Oryzias latipes: one gene and its partners. The protein of the gene in region 2 interacts with the protein of the main gene of each other region in a pairwise test. Links are inferred from orthologs where the notes say so. Each region holds a gene or a part of one and is shown on either strand. Other genes may lie near its edges. The genes, in order: smad1, pias4, satb1, htt and smad7.

Region 1 (4,087 bases), on a different chromosome or scaffold from region 2:
TGGTGCAAAAAAAAATGCCTAGCAATATTGGAGCGATCCAACAGGAGAGTTTTGAGTCAGATGTCAACTCGGACAAGGAAAACAAAGACTAACATGGATCAATGCATCTACAAGTGGATCTATGGGAATAGAGCGGAGCAGGGGGGTTGTGGTCTGCCGGCTGCAGCAGCACCTACATCACTGCTACAGACTTTTTCCAACTGCTCTTGATTTACAACCATTTAAATGAAGAAATACTCAAAAAAGAAATTTTGAGCACTTTTCTTTTTTTTTACATGTCCTCCATCATGAGAAAAATACTATAAGAACATGTTAAAAACACCAAAAATATTTTCATTGGACCAGGTCTTTATATAGATTTTGAACAATAAAGGCTTGATCTGTTAAAAAAAAGCATCCTGTTTATTTTCAAATCTTTAATTCTTATGTATAAAGAGATTATTTTGGACAAAATAAAGATGACATCCACAATTATTTAAAATCTGTTAGGGTCCACAGTGAGCAATGAATGCAGATTTCTGCCAAAGTTATTTTACCCAGCAGTCTATGTATAAGTAAAGCTTAAAAATAACCACAGACACACACAAGATGCCTTCTGACTAGACATAGTCATTGACCAGAGTGTCCTTTGAGTCACCGGGCCACGGTCCCCCACAAACACGAATCTGTGCAATGCTCAGATTCGGCAAGGATTGCACGATAAGTTAGAGATGAAGCTCTGAATGGGAACAGCCTCTGCAAACGGCCTGGAATCACATTTGTCCTGACTACAAAGCTACAGCCGTATTTTTACATTCCAGATACATCAGTCAACACGCAACCGGACAGCAGACATAAATAGCAATCGCATGGGTTTGTAGGCAGCCATCTCAAACATGCTTGGCACTCAAGAGTCGGGTTTGTGTTGTGTTAGGGTGGACACTTCCCCCTATCACTATGAGGCCACAGTGCTCAGATCACACAAACACACAAGAAAAGTGTAACAAATTAATCCTATATATTCATACTTTAGTACATTACACTATAGTCAGAAATATTTCATTTGCAAAATGAATCTGTCAGTGTAGTTTAGCTCAGTTTTCTGATTGTAGTCACCCTAAGAAATGCCACAGCTGAAAGACAGACAACAATAACACTGGGAACTCTACATGCTAAAGCTAAATTTCTTTACGAACATGTGTACAAAAAAACCCACAGACAATAAGCTAAATAAATACATTACATTTATTTTTCTTATCAGTCCTAAAAGACTGAAAAGAAAAGGGAAGAACACACAATTTCTCAAGCATAACTCATCATTGCATACCCCGAGAATGCAAAACAACAACAGGGTATAGGCTGTAGCACGAACAAGGGCAAAATCCCGTCCTTTGAGTAATCTGATATGTCATCTTCAATAATGTCAGGAGATCTGGGCTGAGCTGCTGCAAGACTCTCACTCTGTGTTTTCCCTTGTTTACCTTCCATGGACACAACTGCAGAAAAACTCTAGTACACTACTGTGCAAATGCAAGGAAAAGTACTTCTTAAAATTCAGCGAAAGGTAGTTATCATTAATCAAACAACAGTAGCAAGTAGTATTCCTGCAATGTACTCATTTTAAGAGTATTGCTGTACTGTTTGACATTAAAATAGAATGGAAAATTGTTCATGATTAAATTATGATTACTCATTAACAGCAGTGTAATAAATCAAATAACACTTCATCAAGACATGTCAGAATGTTGCATAACGAAGTAAAATCAATAACTTTTCTACAATTTTTGGTGTTTTTGTAGACAAAAAGAAAGCACAGATAAATGTCACTTGATCTTTATACAATGTCTATTACATATCCTCAATCATTTTTGTGTGCATTCTAGTATCATGACTTGTTTCAGTCTACAAAGCCTAAAAAAACTAAAAAAAATTAAAATATTTATGTTCTTCATTTCTTCAAAGCCATTAAATACTTCATTTACAAAATATATTAAACACTCAAGTTGGAGACTCCATGATTAGCTTGTATCTTTGTCGATCATCTTTAAGTGGAGTTTCATAATGAGGATGATTTAATTTCTACAACAACAAAAGTTGATGATGTAGATCTGCCTTGTTGGTTTATTATTTGCTGAGTGTATTTAGTTTATGCACATATAAACTGAGTTTACATGATCAAAGTAATTAGTCATTTTTCAAAATGATCACTTTTGGCCTTATAATTCAGTATTCTGACATTAAACAAAGAAATAACGTGGCTGAAATGGGATACAACTATATAGCATTACATCACCTAATATTGCTTTTTTTCATGTGAAAAGAAAGTATTTTTGAAATTGAACCAAAATGAAGCCTAAATTCTGTCATTTAAAGAGATTTGAAAACAACAGCATTTGCAGCTCCCCCCCCCCCCCACACACACACACATTCTAAATCTGTACTTCATAAGAGTTTTCTAGAAAGCAACGATGCTGAGCTCTCATCATCATCACTTCATGATTTCCACACAGAAGAAAAAAACAACATAAGTCTCCCGTCAGAGACTTTGAATTAAAGGGGGGAAAGTTTGAAGCTTCCAACTGACAGACTACTGCTAACCTGCTAACCTTCTCCTTCCTCTCGGTAAAGTGGTGCGCAGTATAAACAAGATATGCTAGAATTAGTTTTATTTATAAAATTTAAAGGAATAAAAATATCTCCGTACCTTTTTTTGTGTGTAGTTTACGCTTTCTGGGAATCACCGGGCCCCTCCTGAGCGCTCTCGCTGCCTGAGTTGGGTCTTATCGACCTGGCGTCACAGAGTCGCCGAGCCGCCTCACACTCCCCCTGTGCGCCAGTATTACGCCGCGGGACACAGACCCCAACACAGAGCAGACCTACTACATCTTCATAAGTGGATTATGTAATTGTAAAACAGTTAGAGCTTCTCGCAAATTGTCAACAATTTCTTACAAGGAAAGGGTTTCCATTCTGTTCCTATACTACATAACAGTTCTGTGTTTTTTTTTAACTTCAAAGCATAAAAACTCCTCCCATAACTTCTCTGTAAATCCATATTATTTGGACTGTGCATTTTGTTGGCGTACACACCTTTTAAATGAGAGTTAAAAAGTGTAAATTGCTAAGAGAATTGAGCAAGCCTGCTTGGTTTTTTTCTGTTTTTTTCTGCAATCCTGACAGGCAGTTTGTCTGATCCTGAACTTCTGAACTGCATTTAGGCATTTTGTTTCCCTCAAGCTGTGATTGTGACATGATAAGCAATTGCCTGATAGAGGAAAAAAGTAAATAGACGTCATAGAAACATGACCACACGTGCCACGAAACAAAGAATACAAGCGTGAAATGAAATAAATATATTGTATCTTAATTGGAATAAATGCTAATAGTGTATCATAGATATTAAATATATGAAAGGAAGTGTATATACAGAGTAAAGCTAAAATTCTCCACTTTGCCTGTGTATTGCGATAAAAAAAACAACATACAAGTGTTTTGTAATAATGTGATATTTTTCAAACGAAAGAAAAAAAACGTCACATTTTTAAAATAGTTTTTCTAAGATTTGGCGTTTCCGCCGCGAGAGGGACTAGATTATCTTGAAGACAGGCGGAGGCAAACGCTCTCGACGCAGAAAGCTTCTGGCACACGTGACGTCACGGCGCTGGCGACAGAATGTCTGAGTGAGGCGGGCGCGAGCAGCACGTGAATAAATGTGGGGGGAAGAAGGGAACGGGGTGGAGGGGTGGAGGCTCGCTGATGAGGATGATGATGATGATCGTTATAATAGGGATCATGATGGCGGGGGCAGGGGGAAGGCTCTTCAAACTTGAAGCAAAAAGGATTCCCTTCAGACAGACACACTCGGGCGCGCGCACACATCCACTATCATCCTCTTATTTTACCTTCCTAGATGCACAACTTTATTATCACAGACAAAAGTTTATATGCCAAAAATAAAAACTACAGTTAAAAAAGCATGTGTCTAGAGCTATAGCTATTAAAAGCATAGTCACTGAATTGGCATGATAAATTCAGATTAGTTGACAAAGTACATCCCAAAACGTTTTCCTTCTGTAATATAAAACTCACTTAAAAACTACTTTATTTA
Region 2 (4,200 bases):
GCTGGCATCTTAATGCAGAAAATCATCTATTGTGTAAATGTAATTTCAGCTAATTGACCGGTTTGCCTTTCGGCTTCAGCCCATCAACCCTGCAGTTCTGGAGACTTTGACTTTTCAAACGTAAACTTCAGAAGATTCATCAAACGTGTTTTTCATAGAGACTCAGCTGCACACATCTCCAAAGAGCAGATCTCTGCTGAAGTTTGGTGCCATCATGCAAACGTCTCAGCAGGTTTTCAGAAGACGGCGGCGTTTCATCCGAGATAAATTAGAGGATGAACAGTCAGCGCTGCAACCAAAACCACCCGTTTAGTGAAGCAAACCTAGAGCAGTTCAGTCTGAACCTGATAGACCACAGCTGACGCTTCTTTAGGATGGAGGAGACACAGAAAAAAAGAGAAGGAACCACTGGAGTAGGAGCAAATGCCTCCTGAAGGTGGGCAGCTCCTCCCAGAGCAGAAGTTGAGACTCAGGTCACACAGTTCCAGAAAAGAGGCGAAGATGTTTTTTAAGAACAGATTTTATTAATTCAACACGTCAATAACAGCTGTTAGAATACATTTCTTTATGTTACAGTTTCATCGTCCTGAACAGACTCACACGTGGAACATGTTGGCCACAGCGGCGGCGTCCAGAGCTGCTGCTGAACTCAGCGTTTTGTCACCCAGAAGAATCACCAGGGGGAATTCCAGACGTAATAAAATAAGATTTTCATTTTATTGTCTTTATGAACATTTAAAAAACCAAACTCGTACATAATGAACTGTGAGCCACCGGGCGGCCATGCTACGTTCTGCATTTACAAAGAGAAGCCACTAAGAGAAGTAAAAGAAAAAAAAACCAGGGACCCCACAGGCTCAAACCATCTACGCGGCTCGGTCCCACCAACCATGATGTCACGAGACGCTGAGGAGATCCACTCCGGCCGCCTGACCCTCCAACAGACGAGGAGTTCTATGGACAGAACCTTCAGCGGAGCCACAGGAGCAGAACTCCTCGAACACCCGAAGCCTTCGTGTCTTCCAAACCGGAAGATCAGATTTCATTTGACTCCAGCTTCTTTTTCTAACCATGAATCCGCCTTCTTCTGCTGTGAAGGAAGTTCTGATCCAAATGCAACATGGAGATGCGGATGAGAACGTGTCGTGGACAAGCGCGACCCTCTAGTTGAAACCCTCAGAACCTAAAGCCCACGGCGAATGGAAACGGGTCACAAAGTGCAGGAACAAATGAAAACATGCAGAGCTTCCAAACGAGTCCTCTGAAGGTTTTCCATCAAAGTGCAAACATCTCTTCCACCGGGAGATGCGACGGCCTGAAGATTCACTCTGGGACTAAAACGGATCCTGCAAAGCCGGCTCTGGTGTGAGCTCATCAGCAGAGACAGGAGCCTGACGGGCGGGGCAACGGGAGGTTCAACTGTTGTGAGATGTGTGACGGACAACAGCCGCTCCACCTGACAGCAGGAGGTCCAGGAAGCAGAGCAGTGCGAAGAGCGCAGTGATGCAGCTGCAGAGTGACAGCCTCTGACCTTCAGACGTCTCCACTGACCCAAACGCGCAGCTCCGCCCATCACTTCCTGTCCACAAACGTCTTTGCAGGAGCCAGGCAGACCACATCCTGAACTTCAACCAAAATAAGAGCTTCACCTGTGAACCTGGATTTGGACCGAGAACAGGGTCACATCGTATGAAAGTCCAGTGTAGAAACATCTCAGGAAGTCTGCAGCTGCTCCAGAGCTGCTCTCAGATCTGTGGGCCGAGCTTCTGCGGTTGAGGTAGGTTTCTCCATCCGAGGACGCGTAGAAGGAAAGCTTCGGGGGGGTGTTGTGCTCTGCACCTCCATGAACCAGATGATCCTGAAACATCTGGTTAACGTTTGGACTGATGCTATGAACCAAGATCTCCACCTGACCTGCTCCTCAGACCTTCATGTCTTCTCATCTGATGTTTTCATCTTCAACAACAACAAAAAAGGACAGAGGCGGCTGGCTTACAACTTCCTGTCCATCACTAATGTGAGAAGAATGTGATGCAAACACTGAAGGTCCGCAGCGGCGGCGGACAGTCTGTACAAAGAGACGGTGAAGGGGAGGAGTCTGGAGACTAAGGGGGCGGGGCAGCAGTAGTCAGGAGATCAGTCTTTACAGCAGGAACGGGATGGAACGGGGTTTACTGCAAGCTTAAAGGAGGAGCAGCCCCCATTGGGACATGGAGACACCGCGTTCTCCTCCAGAAACCGGCGTTGGTTTGCCAGGACGCCACGAAGAGGAGTGACGCGCTGTGAGCATCAGGCTCCTTCTGCCCTCAGGTCTGAACCTCCATGCTCCTCTGCCTCAGTCTGTCAGGAGAACTGCAGGGTCAGTACGCCGTGACCAAGTCCTTGTCGTAGTTGTATCGTCCCCTCTTGGGGGCGGGGCTGTCGGCGCTGTCCTCAGTGTCCTCACTGTCCCCTCCAGCCCCACCCCCCTCCTCCTCAGAGGAGGAGTCCAGAGTCAGATCTACTACCACACCTCCTGCTGCCGGTGCTCCCGTGACTCCAGCCATCCCTGAGGAGCTGCTTCCGGGTCGGCCCGTCAGGCTGGTGCTGCTGTGGGCCGGAGAATGGCCGTTGGCTTCAGGACTGCCTGCAGACACAAACCCAGCAGGTCACGAACTGTAACGCGGCGCAGACGGCGCTCTAAGAAACGCGCAGACGCTTACATATGTCAACAACCGAGTACTCTGGAGTTTTACTGCGCTCCCGCTCTCGTTCCTTCTCCTTTTCATCTCTGATTGGCCGCCAGGAGCCGTCTGTCAAATACTCGATCTCCTCGATGTCCTCACCCGTCAGCTTCAGTATCTCTGAACACAACCTGAAACCCAGATGTGGATAAAAACCTTTAGGTCTGCCAAAGATCTGCAGAACCCAGACTTACAAAAACACTTCAAGTTGTCCTCACGTATAGACAAGGGAAGGTCAAAACAAACATAGCTTTGATTTTTTGTGGTTTTGACTTAAAAACTTGTCAAAGCCCGAGAGTGCAGATGAAGTTTTCAGTCGTAAATGTTGGACACAGCTTTCCTCACCCATCAATGGTGAGGAGCTCAAAGGGAGCCGGCTTGTCGCACACGGGGCAGGTCCACGTCGGCTTCTTCTCGTTCATTTGCAGGAAGAAGACGGCGTCGAAACACTGAAGATGGGCGCAGGTCAGAACTCGGCACGGCACGCCGAGTCGCATCTTCACCAGCTGGAGGAGACAGGAGGAGGAGAGTGGAGGTTAGTCATGGCGTTTTGAGGAACATCAGCAGCAGGACGTCACAGTGAACCACAGGAGGGACAAAGTCCCATGTCTCAAGTCCCAAGTCGAAACCAACAAGTCTCACGTCACCTCCAAGTCCTACAGTTGAATGTTTCGAGTCCTTTAAACAACAGAGTGTTCACATTCACATGCTTTTAGGAACTGGATTTATTCATCAACATTTTGCAGCATATCAGGTAAATTACCTCTGAGCTCATGCATCCAAGCAGATACATATGGACCGAGGAAGAGTTTAAAATGTTTGACTCCATAAAACCAAAACAAAAATAAATAAATTTAACGTTTAAAATTTCTGTCTTTTTTTCAATCCGAAATTTCACATTAACTTCCTGTAAAAACATATTTTTGACAGGAAGTTAATGGGGGACTTGTATTCAAAACAAAGTAAGTCGTATTCAGACAGAAATATTAAACGTTAAACCAAATGTATTTATATCTTTGTGCCCGGACTATGACTTTTTTCACACTGTAATTGAACAGGAAACATAATTAAACTGGTTAGAATCACATACATAAACTGCATTTAGAGGCAAAGCTCACAGAGTGGCTTTGGGGCGGTCTGTCTGTGTGAACTTTTCAGAGCAGAAATAAATGTCGCTCAGTCAAACAGTTCAAACAATCACATGAATTTGTGTTTCCAGTCGTGTCCCGACAAAATAAAGGCTGATGTTATTCCCACACATTTACGTGCAGCCAAGGTGCAGCGAAGATGCAGATTGCTGCGTTTCTCGCACGGTCCTGGATTTTGTGTCCATCAAGGCTAATGATGTTAGCCCGTGTTAGCCTGCCCTAAGCCTTCTTCCAGCTTAATTCTTCCACAAAAAAGCACCGACCACACGGATTAAATAAAACGATGAGCGAACAGGCGCTTCATAATATTCTTAACATTAATAAAAGCA
Region 3 (3,514 bases), on a different chromosome or scaffold from region 2:
ACTGACCGTGCTTTTTGAATCAGGTGATGAGGAGCTTCACGTGAGATTTTCATTCTCATGAAGCTCCTCCCATCCTGAAAAGTTGACAATTTCCATGTCTTGTCTTGGTTTTTTTTACATCTTATTTTATGTCTTCTTGAGTTTTTCCCATTTAAACTTTTTCAGCTGCAGATTTTTTCCTGAATTTTTGAAACTTCAGAGGAAGAATCAGGAATGTTGGACATTTATATCAAAGACCAAACAACCGCCCACATCTTCCCTCCAGGTTTAGCTCTGTGTTTGCAGTTATTTAAAACTCTTTGTTTGGCATTAATGTAACCGCTAAAAATGCACATGATTGATACGCAATATTATCAGAATTATCAAATGTTAGTTTAAGCAACAAACGGCTTAAGGATCTTAAGACGCGTTACTCTGAAAGCCAAGTCGACTGCAGAAATTAAGACTTTTATTCTGAAGGTTTATGTGTTTTATGTCCTCAACACCACAAAGAACTGCTCAGCAGGAAAGTTGGGGATTTTCAAATGAACCAGGATGTCAAAAATCAAACGTCTTAATCTGGATTATGGGAAGTTTTCTTCCTTTAAGGTTTTTGAGAAGCCTTTAGCAGGTTTCATCCTCTGATTTCAGGCATGTAAACACGGCGTGCTCCTCACCTGTGCAGCTGGATCTTGAGCGTGACCACGTGGTAAACGTCCTGCAGCATGTCGGCCACTGTGGCGTCCGGCGCGTCCGTCACGTACGACAGCGGGACGGGGTTCCACTTCCCCACCTGAATCATACCTGCGGGGTGAAAGCGCGTCAACGTGGGCCGGAGCGGAGCTCGCCATCGGCGCTTTATTTAAAACTGCAACACTGGCGTGCTGTGATGTCAGCAGGGGAGAGGTGTGAGTCAGGGTTTGCGTGCGTGTGTGTGTGTGCGTGTGTGCGATAGGGATGGACTACGCGCACAAATATGCATCTTAAAATAGCAAAGCTCAAACTGCATGTGTTCCTGTGCAATTACAGTCTTGCCTCCACCTACACAACACGTGTGCATGGAGATACACACATGCAGGCCACTGTGTGATATCTGTCAGCGTGTGTTGCAGTTATGGTGGAGGGGGTGGGAGGAGTCACCTTTGGCCTGGGCGGCGGAGCTGTGAGAGTAGCCCAGCGACAGCAGAGCCATCTCGATGAGCTGGTTGAACAGCATGTCCTTGCGCACCAGGACGAACTCGGCGTGCTCCTCCTTGCTGTCGAAGTCCATGGGGTTCTCGTAGTGCTCCACCACGCAGAACACCGGCAGCATGTTGCCTGCAGACACGGCAACACCCGGGTTCTGGGGGTGAGGACTCTGACCGTCAGCCGCTCACAGGGAGTCATATTTAGCCCGATGATCGAGTTAGGTGAGGAGAAATGATCTTTCAGAGTGCAGTTCCGGTGCAAAGACTCTCCCATTCCCATCAGCACCAGGAATCCAACGTCAGGCAGAATTCACCTCGCGTTGGGGTTAAACACGGTAAAAACGGGGAAACATCACCGTTGAAGCCTTTTCCTCCCAAAGCAAAGGCCTCTCCTGCTAAACGGAGTCACCAGCAGCTCGGTCGACTAAAAAATGAAGAGTCCTGGTCCAGAAAATGAACGTTTACTCTGCAAATTTCACCCAATGTGCTTTTGTGTTAGAGAAGTTTTAATAGGGAAAGTGAAAAGCGTCTCCCCGAATAAAGAAACCGTGTTTACGTCCTGCTGTCAGACAGATTTCTACTTGTTTATCGTCTCTGCTGACCAAAAAAAAAAGATCCCAATATTTTCGGATCCTAGGCATTCCAGAAGATGCGCAGGGCTCCGACCAAACAATCGACGGGCCAACAAATGCAGAGGAATGTGCTGAAAGGGCTGCTTTTCTCCCCCCTGATTCTGATAGATACAGATCTGACAATAAAGACTGCTGTGCTGGTTCATTGGGGGGGGGGGGGGGGGTCAATACTGGCTTTGTTTCCAAAAGCCCAGAGAGCGCCGTGGCAGATATTATTATTTCGGACCAACTGTGGCTCCTGTGCGAAGCCTGAGAGGTGAGCCCGCCCCCTCTTTGCCAGCCTGGATGCTGGAGAAACAGCTGAAAGGATGGGGGGGGGGGAATAGCGGACGTTTCTCCCAGATGCATAAAAAAAACGAAAAAAATAAAGTGGAGAAATGACCCATCTGAGGACACAGCGACACATTCCAGGAGCTCCTGTCTCCCTATTGGCCAAAAAAAAAAAACAACAGACCAAAAAAGCTCCAGCAGCCAAGAACTTTTACGACTCCAGAACTGACTTCTGAATCTCACTTCCACTAAAAACAGAACCATAATCGTAAAAACAGACTCGACTGACGCCTTCTTCTTCCTCAAGAAGATGACTTATATTAATAATAAAACTTTGTCAAAGCTCCTAAAAGAAACTTCTGCCCACTGCAAACAAACGGCAGCATAGCAGAACCTTCCCCTAGCTTTGGTTTCAATGCACCAACGTCAAAATATTCTACTTTTCTGAGGAGAAAAGCAACTTCCTAGAAATGTCTTTTTTCTGTAAGAGCAGAATTATGCACAATAAAACTTCATTATTATGCCTGTGTCATTAATTAAGCAGTAAAAAGATGAGAATTTGCAGATTTTCCGCCGTGACGGTTTTATGGCGCCTCTTCGTTTAAGACACACGAGGAGAAACAGACGCGATCTCCTGCAGCGCCGTCTTACCTCTCTTGTGGAAGGTCTTCAGCAGGTGGCCGCTGGGCTTGTACGGGACCCCCGCCAGTTTGGCCCCGTTGCTGCCCAGTCGGGCCCGCCCCAGCGGGCTGCCGTTCTGCTCCAGCCGGGGCAGCTTGGCCGGCGGGGCCTTGGCTTCCGCCATGCTGTTGACCAGCTCCGAGTTCTCCTTGCCCAAACACGTCTCGCTGAGATGCTCCATCCTTCTCAGCGCCTCTGCTCACTATCACCTGGGGAGGGAAAGAAGCATTAAAGAAAACACCTGATGGGTGGGATTTTGGCTAGGCGTGAGGCTGTGGAGCTCTGAGAACATCTTCCACCTGAGAAGAGCGAATCTCCACATTCAGTCAGAGGAAAGTATTACAGTTATCCAGCAAACGTGGCGCTTAAAAATAGAATTTAAAACACAAACTCAGTTTCTCAGTGAAGAATTTGGATGGTTCCAAAGCAGAAAAAGTATTTTTAATGATATTTTGGATTTAAGATTATGAATGTGGACGAAAAATCTTCAACTTAAAATTCTAAGTCCAAATCATTATTTTTATTAAAAACTTTTATAATAAACCCCTTTATTGTTTCCCTGTTTATGTATTTACAATCATTTAGTCGTTTTTTTAAGCTATACTTTTAAAAACTTCTAAATTCAAATTTTTTTATACATCTATATTTATATATATAAATACATTTGGTTTTGGATGAAATGTTGACCTGTGGAAGGCCTGGGGAGGAGACAAAGTAGTTCACAACTTTGTAAAGTATGTGGGCGCGTGCCTGCATGGGCGCGCG
Region 4 (3,514 bases), on a different chromosome or scaffold from region 2:
AGCACTTTTCCTGGAAAAATTCCAGATTTGTGGTCAACGCTCATCGAGTTCCTACAAGTGCAAACATCTGCAGGTGGAATTTTGAGTAAATCCCGTCGTTTGGGCGGAAGTCAGCAAAGAAAAGGTGTAGAAGAGTCACCTCTCTGTTTCCTGAGGAGGAGTGGACTGCAGGAAGACCCACCTCCTGCTGCAGACGGCAGGAAAACCGGAAGAAGAAAAAAAGGAAATGACAGGAAGAGAAGCAGGAAAAGCTTGGAAAGCACTAAAAAGATGACGATTCGAACACAGCAGAGGTGTTAATCTCACAAACAGACCAAGAGTTAGAAAAAGGAGCAGCCGAGTTCCTTCAGGGCAAAAGTGAACGCAGCGCAGGCTAACAGGACGACTCGCTAAATGTTTAGTGGCGTGAATCAGCGACAGAAACACCTTTGTGGAGAAAAACAACGCATTACCAATGAGCTCCAGGATGCTGCCAGAACGGGCGCGGCTCTCGTTGTCTTGGCGAAACACGGTGGCGTGAGGAATGCTGCCCGCTGTGATGAGCAGGTGGAGGAGCTCTGGCGGCGGCGTCCTGAACGTCTGCTGCAGGAGCTCCAGAGCCGCCGTGACCACGTTGTGATCCCAGTGCTGCGTGTAGTGTAGGGTCAGCTCGTACACCTTCAGAGACGCAGGAGGTGAGCAGAGCGTGGCTGCACAAACACACATGCGCTCTCTTACACACACACACACCTGTAGCATCTGCTCAGGTGTCGGCTGAACATCTGCCTCCTTCCTCATGACCCCAAAGCTTCCTTTGAGGCTGGTAGTGTTGACCTGCTGCTGTAGCAGAGGCATCATGTAGCGTAGAGTCAATAACGTCCCCAGAATCAGATGACTGGGATGCTCCTCGTCTACTGGAACCAGCAGACCTGGAGATGGAAGGAGAGCGTGCAGAACCAGGGGGCTTGCAGTCTGGGTGTGCCGTGTTCGGTGACGTACCTAGCAGCACATTCAGAAGCCAGGTATAGAAGTAGCTGGTGCGTCTGGAGTGTTGGCATACGCTGACGGCGGAGCTGGCCGCCGTCCGTCTGATGGTGGGGGAGCTGGATTTCAGGTTGGCAACAAACGACTTTAGCAGGAGCTGGAAAAATGAAAAGGACTCGAGCTTTTAGTGAATGCAAAAGGGGAGAAAAAAAACATTGTTCCTGTAGTAAAAACAGGTTACCTTGACCTCGCCGTCATTCGCAAAGTTTCCTAGCGCGGCCATGATTTTGGGCGTTGCTGCAGCCAGGGTCTCCTGCACGGTTTCCTCCTGCCGCTTGGTGATGCGGGTGAGGCACGGCAGCAGGTTCACCAGGTACGGCCTTGCAGAGCAACCAAAGGACAAAACAATAAATCCCGAAGCATCCCATTAGAAAAAAAACTAAATTAAAGTAGAAGGAGCTGCATTTCCAGAAGAAAATGCAGGATTAAATGCTGTATTGAAGACAAGAGTCAGCGGCTGAAGGACGCTCATTAATATTTGAATGAATATCGTCCTGGCAGCATTTTAAATCGATACAAGTATCGCCAAATGAATTATCGCGATATATTGCTAAAATGATTTTTCCCCTACTGGCAGGTCGTGCTTTCCGTTATCGTAACTCAATATAGAGACTTGCTGTCAGTTTTTTTATTTTTTAAGTTATTGATCCTGGAAGTCCTAATCTGGCTGAACTGTTTCTGTGCGCCTCCTGCTCAAAGTGGTGCAGCAAAAAGATAAAGGTGATTTGTTGCAGATATGCAGACGTCTAGTAGATCTGGAATAATAAGCTTGAAATGTAAAGAGCTGATCATAATGAGAACAAATTAACTGAATGCCCGATCCTTGGTCGGGGTACAACATCCCATTTCAATCAAGTCTGCAACCACATGACCAGGCCAGATTTTTGACCATGTGATGTCCCGATGTGTGATCGGATCGGGACATCCTTAATGGTGACAAAAAAACAGATAAACGTTTTAACTTTCCAAAGAGTGGTTCACTTTTCTCTCTTGTTTAAACTCTTAAAGTTCAAACCTTTATAAAAGGTTGGTGTGTGTGAGGACACACACTAGCTGTCTTCACACATAAAGACAGCAGGTAACGCAGGAAAACAGCTGCACTTTATCTTATAAATAAGTTTGTGTGCGGGGGTTGGGGGGGGGGCATTTTCTTTTTCCTAGGGGGGGTCCTTGCAAAAGATAATTGAGAAGCACTGAGCTACGCGGAGGAACATTGGAGCAGCTGCAGGGAATTCAAGAAGAATGAATCCATGATTCACAAGTGGAGGAAGCTGGAAAACGAACTCCGGCAGTCAGGAAGACGCAGCTGAGTTTCCAGTTCCTGGTCCCAGACCAGGGTCCACTTGGGTGTATTCAGACTGAAAATTTGTTCCAGATTATCGGGGAAAACTAACTCTGGTTCACGAGTGTCCAGCGTGAATACATCCTTAAAGAAAGATCCCCAACAGATTTCAAAATTAATCTGACAACAGTGAGCGATGGAAATCCTCCAGGCGGCTCAGGTACCTGCACTTCTGCGGCCTGATGAGGTGGGCCAGCTCAGCAAACCTCCACAAAGCCGCCCTCAGACTCCGAGAGGCACCGTTCTGCGAAGAAGGGCACAAAAAAAAAAACACTTTTATTGATGGAAAAGCTGCAAAAGCAACGATGCAAATAAACAACAAGTGGAATTTATTACCTTTTTAATTTCTTTGTACAACTCCAGCTGCAGTCTGGGTAAATTAGAGTCCATCAGCGCCTGAAGATTCAGGTCAGAAGATGAACGAAGCATGATTGGTTAAACAAAACAACACAATTCATATTAACAATAGGTGGTTTGACCCCTTCTGGTCATGTCAACTGTTTATTCTGAGTGTATGTCAAATATGGGAAAGATAAGGAAAAAAGAGTGTTTACATAATAGAAATGGATGCACAGGAATAAAATGAAGCATAAATATGTAAAGGGGGGTTTGTGGCGCCTCTTCTCTTCAACAAAAGCTAAATAATTCCACAATTGTGTTTACATACACACTGCAACACACACTTCCAAACACAAGCACAAATGCACAAAAGCTCACACAGCGCAAATAACTTTACGTGAATATTTATGTAGAATAATAGTTCTGATGGAGTTAAAAAAAGAAAAAAGAAACACACACACAAAAACAACCTACATGCCAAAACCAATAAGACAAAAGCATTGGTTCAGTCAACGCAAACCAAAAAGCAGAGTAAAGAGAGTTCCTCACTTTAATGATTTTGTTCAGGCACTCGTCAGCCACCATCCGGACGTCGGACTCGCTGTCGTCGCTGCAAAGCAGAAACATCTCCATGGCGATGCCAAGCAGCTTCTGAAACTCTGGAGACGTTCTGTTCAAAGGGTTCAAATAGGGCCAACGGTAAGAAAAGCATTGATTCAACTTCCCCCCTCCCCCCCATTACTTTAGGAAACCCGGGTCCTCGTTTTTTTCTAATCTGAGCCTGTCAGTCAAATTTGTAGCGGACACAAA
Region 5 (3,995 bases), on a different chromosome or scaffold from region 2:
TTCTGCGCCCATGGAGGCTGAGATGATCAGAAATAAGAGATAATTAAAGACGAGGGTTTGGTCTTCAAAGCGGATGTAACCCATGACGATGCTGTGGCCTGCTGCCACACGGGGGCCCGGGTCAAGTCAGAAAACAAGTGTTGGGTGGTGGTGGTGGTGGAGGGGGGGGGCAATCACTTTGAGTGGAGAAAAGACCCCCCTCCCTCCCAAACACACACCGCAAACCCCACTCTTAATCTACTGATCATTCCATCTGATAAAGGCTGACTGGCTCCAGACTCTGTTGTCTGTCTCTCTCAGCACTGTGGTTCACAATAGATAGATGGACAGACCACCCCCCCAACCCCACCCCCAACTCAGACATGCACACAAGCCCTGGTGACATGCCAGTCAGTCCATAGCTGGTATCTCAACTTCGTATTGCCTTGCCCTGGCTGCTAGCCACATTAGAATTGGCCAGCCAGCCAGGCGTGTCACTCTGCCCCCCCCCCACACACACACAACTCCCCATAAATCACAACACCATTTCCTGCAGAGGACACCAACGTGAAGTGCAGCTCATGACATCACTTCAAACATGCATATTATTGCACAAACAAACAAACAAAAAGCAATGACTTAGGAAATATCCATGTGAAATGATGCATCAAGCTCACCTGGTGGTTTCAAATAGTCCATGGGATATCGCGAATAAGGAGGAGGAGGAGACTCTGTGTGGAGGAGGAGGGGGGGAAAGAAAAAAAACTGCATGAGAAAAGAAGAGGAAGAAAAAAAACACAAAGGAGAGATCTGAACTTTCTGATAAGAGTTGTCATTCTTCAGGGGAGGGCTGATTTGTGCCTGTCAGCTCCGCCTGGAGAAGCAGGCAGTGAGGCTGGCCGGGCGGCTATTGCCTTTCATTGGCAGGCAGATAAACAGGGGGCCGCCTGGCGCCAGAAGGGCCACTATCAGCGTCTAGGACAAACTGAGATACGGGCCTCTTTTGGCCCGGGACGCCAAGCAAGCACACACACACATAAACACACACATTTCAAGACTGGAGAGTCTTTCTGTACTTTGGATGCCAATTATGAAATGTTGAAATTCTTAACAGGGGTGTTTGGAAATCTGAAACCGCGACAATGCGTATAGCTGAGGAGGATTTGAGTTTTGGAAAAAAAAAATCAAATGGAACAATTAATTAAAGTAGGTTTCTATTCAAACTCGACCACCAAACCTGCTAAAAGGATCTGGCACAGCTTCAGATCAATGGAACCTGAAGACCACTGTGCCAGAGAGGTGTTGTCATTAGAATTAGGTTAATTGGCACAGTCTTTTTCAGCCTTCTCTCCACCTAGGACCTCATTTTTTTGGAGTTTTTTTTAGTGAAAATATTGAAGCTCACCGAGTTCACAGAGCCTGCTCATGTGGTGAGGGTTGCAGCAAACGAGCTCGGGGTTGGCTTTCCCGTAAGATTCACAGCACGACAGCCTCTTCAGCTCCGAGGAATGCCTGAGGTCCGGCCACCTGAACACTTTGTAGAGCAGCATGGGGAGGGAGTAAGACTGTTGACCCACTTTGGCGTCCACTTTGCTGGGCAGGAGAAGGCAGGGGCTCCGGACGCCCCCCTTGGACTCCACCGCCTGCAAAAGCACCTCTAATTGTTTTTCTTTGATCTTTTTCAGTACCGAGTGGGTCAACGCCTTCAATTCGGCCTCCGACCCCGCGTTGGACTTGGCCACTTTTGTCGCTTTGCCCATGCAGCAGCCCCCGGAGCCATGCGTCCCTCTATCCGTCTCCCCGTCGCCCTCCACGGGCGCACGGCTCCTCCAGAGTCGCCGGACGAGCCCCGATCGTTTGGTCCTAAACATGCGGGACGAAAAGAGGGTTTCCCGGCTAAAAAACGAGCATGGTGTCCGCAAATCATGAAGATTCCGGGATCCGAGTCCAGGCAATGACAAGCAGCCTGAGAGAAAACGGTGGAAAAACTGGGAGCTGGAGAAGCAGAGGAAATCTATAGCATGCGCCAGTCTCTGAAGCTGTTTTTCCTGCAGAAAGGTCACCAGAAAGCGCTCGAGGTTGGCGGGACAGCCAACGTTTCCACGATCAGAATACAAAAAAAAAAAAAGATCACATCTATGAGCTTAGAAACACCAAACCGGAGCAGGAAACCTGCAGCAGCGGAGCTGCGTGAAGCCCGAATGCGTTACAGTTTTGTGCAATCCGGCGCTGTGAACTGACCCCTTTAAAAAAACGCCGTGACGGTTTACAGCGGGGGGAAAAACGCTGTCAGAAATGTTTATTCAAGTCACAACTAACTGGTACTTATAAGAAAAACCTAAGGCCTAATTAAGCCTCAACGCTGGCGCAATCATCCCATGAAAAAGCGAAGCTCTCCGCCGCGTCTTGAGTAGCATAATCCACAAAATCCTTCATCCGAGCGCACGAACTGGGGCTCCCCACCTTTAAATGTATATTTTAGTATGTAGTGGATGAGGTCTTCTGGTAAAATAGTGAGCCAAGGAGAAAAAAATCCAGGTCTCCCACCGGAGTTGAGTCGCGTTTGTAAAGCCACAGCAAGACCCTCCGTTTTTCTTTTTCTTTTTTGCGTCCACGCAGCGAGCCTGCTTTTAGCAATCCCTCCAGATAAAATAATCCAAAATCGTATCTCTCACGGAGTTTCCGTGGCTGAGCGTGGAGGAAAGCGAGCAGACAGCTGATCTGGTCCGGGCTAAAGGGCTCTCTGTCTGTAAATGAGGCGGATGGTTTGGGTGCCCTTGCTCCGTCTCCAGTCTCCAGTGCGCATTGACGCGCCCGGTCACGTGTGTGTCTAGACACCCTGTCGCTTAAAAGAAATGTGATTGTGTTGCGCAAACAACAGATCAAGTAGAGCCCACGGTGCACACACACACACAAGCGCGCGCGCGCACTTAGAAAACACAAATGAGAAAGTTTACGCCACAAAAGTTTAATATTTGCAGAAAAAAGAACAACATTAAAAAAATTTCTCAGTTAAATTATTTAGTAAATCTGCAGATTTTTTGGTTTGCTTTCAGTCCTAAAATAATGTTTATATATATATATATATATATATATATATATATATATATATATATATATATATATATATATATATATATATATATATATATATATATATATTCAATCATTAATTTCACGCTTGTACTGAATAAGCAGTAAATACGTGTTTCATCGTTAAAGCTATGAATCAGTTTAATATATCTTCATAGCTTTTCGCCACTGTTGCCATGGTGATCACACAGGGCAGTTTTATTGTTTTGGAGAGTTTATGGCTGGAGTTGAATTTAGGAAGTGAGCCACAGTGCTGACTCCTTCGGGGGAGCTCGTTGCTGCCCCCCATCGGACATGTTCGGTACTACACACACAAAGAGTTCCCACCCATCTTTATTTATCCAGCAGATCAATCCATCAGCTGAGGATCAAATTTGTCTTTTCTTGTCTTTTTAACATGTGCCAGCCTTCCTTCTGTGTCATTGCCCTCATGGAATCCATATTAATTATAACAGACTTATATATGTCTGGAATTTAGCTCAATGTTGGTGCCAAAAATGTACAAATACAGCTTGATGGGGAACACTCACTGTGATGTCTCACTTCAAACCCAATAAATTTAACACGTTTTAGGAGAAATTGTTCTTTTAAACAGAAATGAACCGTTTCTGGTCTGCAGACTTCCCTCGACAGACAGTAGTCCCGGGGAGGAGATGCAGTCAGCAGTATGTTAATATGACAGAGTTGCTGCAGGGCATGGGGGTGGGCGGCAGATAATGATGGTGGCAGAGATGTGTGGGGTTGAGGAGGGGTGTGTGTGCATGCGTGGAGGAGATGGAGAAAGATGGGGGAGGAGGTGGGGTGTGTGTGTGTATGTGTGTGTGTGGGGGGGGGGGGGGGTATCAGTCGTTTATCCCCCCCGTATTGTTCCCCCGGATCCCCAACTGGCGCCGAGGAGGAGCGCGCCACTGCAGCCCCAAACC

What was found.
Region 1: the proteins of pias4 (region 2) and smad1 interact in a two-hybrid assay, tested with the Homo sapiens proteins (2 studies listed by BioGRID and IntAct). The link is inferred for Oryzias latipes from reciprocal best matches to the Homo sapiens genes PIAS4 and SMAD1.
Region 3: the proteins of pias4 (region 2) and satb1 interact in a two-hybrid assay, tested with the Homo sapiens proteins (2 studies listed by BioGRID and IntAct). The link is inferred for Oryzias latipes from reciprocal best matches to the Homo sapiens genes PIAS4 and SATB1.
Region 4: the proteins of pias4 (region 2) and htt interact in binary tests that used the Homo sapiens proteins (3 or more experiments, as listed by UniProt). The link is inferred for Oryzias latipes from reciprocal best matches to the Homo sapiens genes PIAS4 and HTT.
Region 5: the proteins of pias4 (region 2) and smad7 interact in a two-hybrid assay, tested with the Homo sapiens proteins (2 studies listed by BioGRID and IntAct). The link is inferred for Oryzias latipes from reciprocal best matches to the Homo sapiens genes PIAS4 and SMAD7.

What each region holds. Positions count from the first base shown.
Region 1 is NC_019859.2:18,353,925-18,358,011, reverse strand, and holds the start of smad1 (mothers against decapentaplegic homolog 1), read right to left. Parts: upstream 2,813-4,087; 5' UTR 2,684-2,812; intron 1-2,683. UniProt on the Homo sapiens protein: Transcriptional modulator that plays a role in various cellular processes, including embryonic development, cell differentiation, and tissue homeostasis.
Region 2 is NC_019862.2:7,817,332-7,821,531, forward strand, and holds the end of pias4 (E3 SUMO-protein ligase PIAS4), read right to left. Parts: intron 3,230-4,200; coding exon 3,069-3,229; intron 2,855-3,068; coding exon 2,703-2,854; intron 2,627-2,702; coding exon 2,361-2,626; 3' UTR 503-2,360; downstream 1-502.
Region 3 is NC_019874.2:30,130,705-30,134,218, reverse strand, and holds part of satb1 (DNA-binding protein SATB1), read right to left. Parts: intron 2,959-3,514; 5' UTR 2,931-2,958; coding exon 2,720-2,930; intron 1,297-2,719; coding exon 1,120-1,296; intron 784-1,119; coding exon 657-783; intron 1-656. UniProt on the Homo sapiens protein: Crucial silencing factor contributing to the initiation of X inactivation mediated by Xist RNA that occurs during embryogenesis and in lymphoma.
Region 4 is NC_019859.2:35,197,547-35,201,060, forward strand, and holds part of htt (huntingtin), read right to left. Parts: intron 3,375-3,514; coding exon 3,254-3,374; intron 2,762-3,253; coding exon 2,702-2,761; intron 2,610-2,701; coding exon 2,530-2,609; intron 1,344-2,529; coding exon 1,205-1,343; intron 1,121-1,204; coding exon 979-1,120; intron 909-978; coding exon 730-908; intron 658-729; coding exon 453-657; intron 188-452; coding exon 140-187; intron 11-139; coding exon 1-10.
Region 5 is NC_019870.2:9,759,892-9,763,886, forward strand, and holds the start of smad7 (mothers against decapentaplegic homolog 7), read right to left. Parts: upstream 2,803-3,995; 5' UTR 1,851-2,802; coding exon 1,385-1,850; intron 711-1,384; coding exon 657-710; intron 1-656. UniProt on the Homo sapiens protein: Antagonist of signaling by TGF-beta (transforming growth factor) type 1 receptor superfamily members; has been shown to inhibit TGF-beta (Transforming growth factor) and activin signaling by associating with their receptors thus preventing SMAD2 access.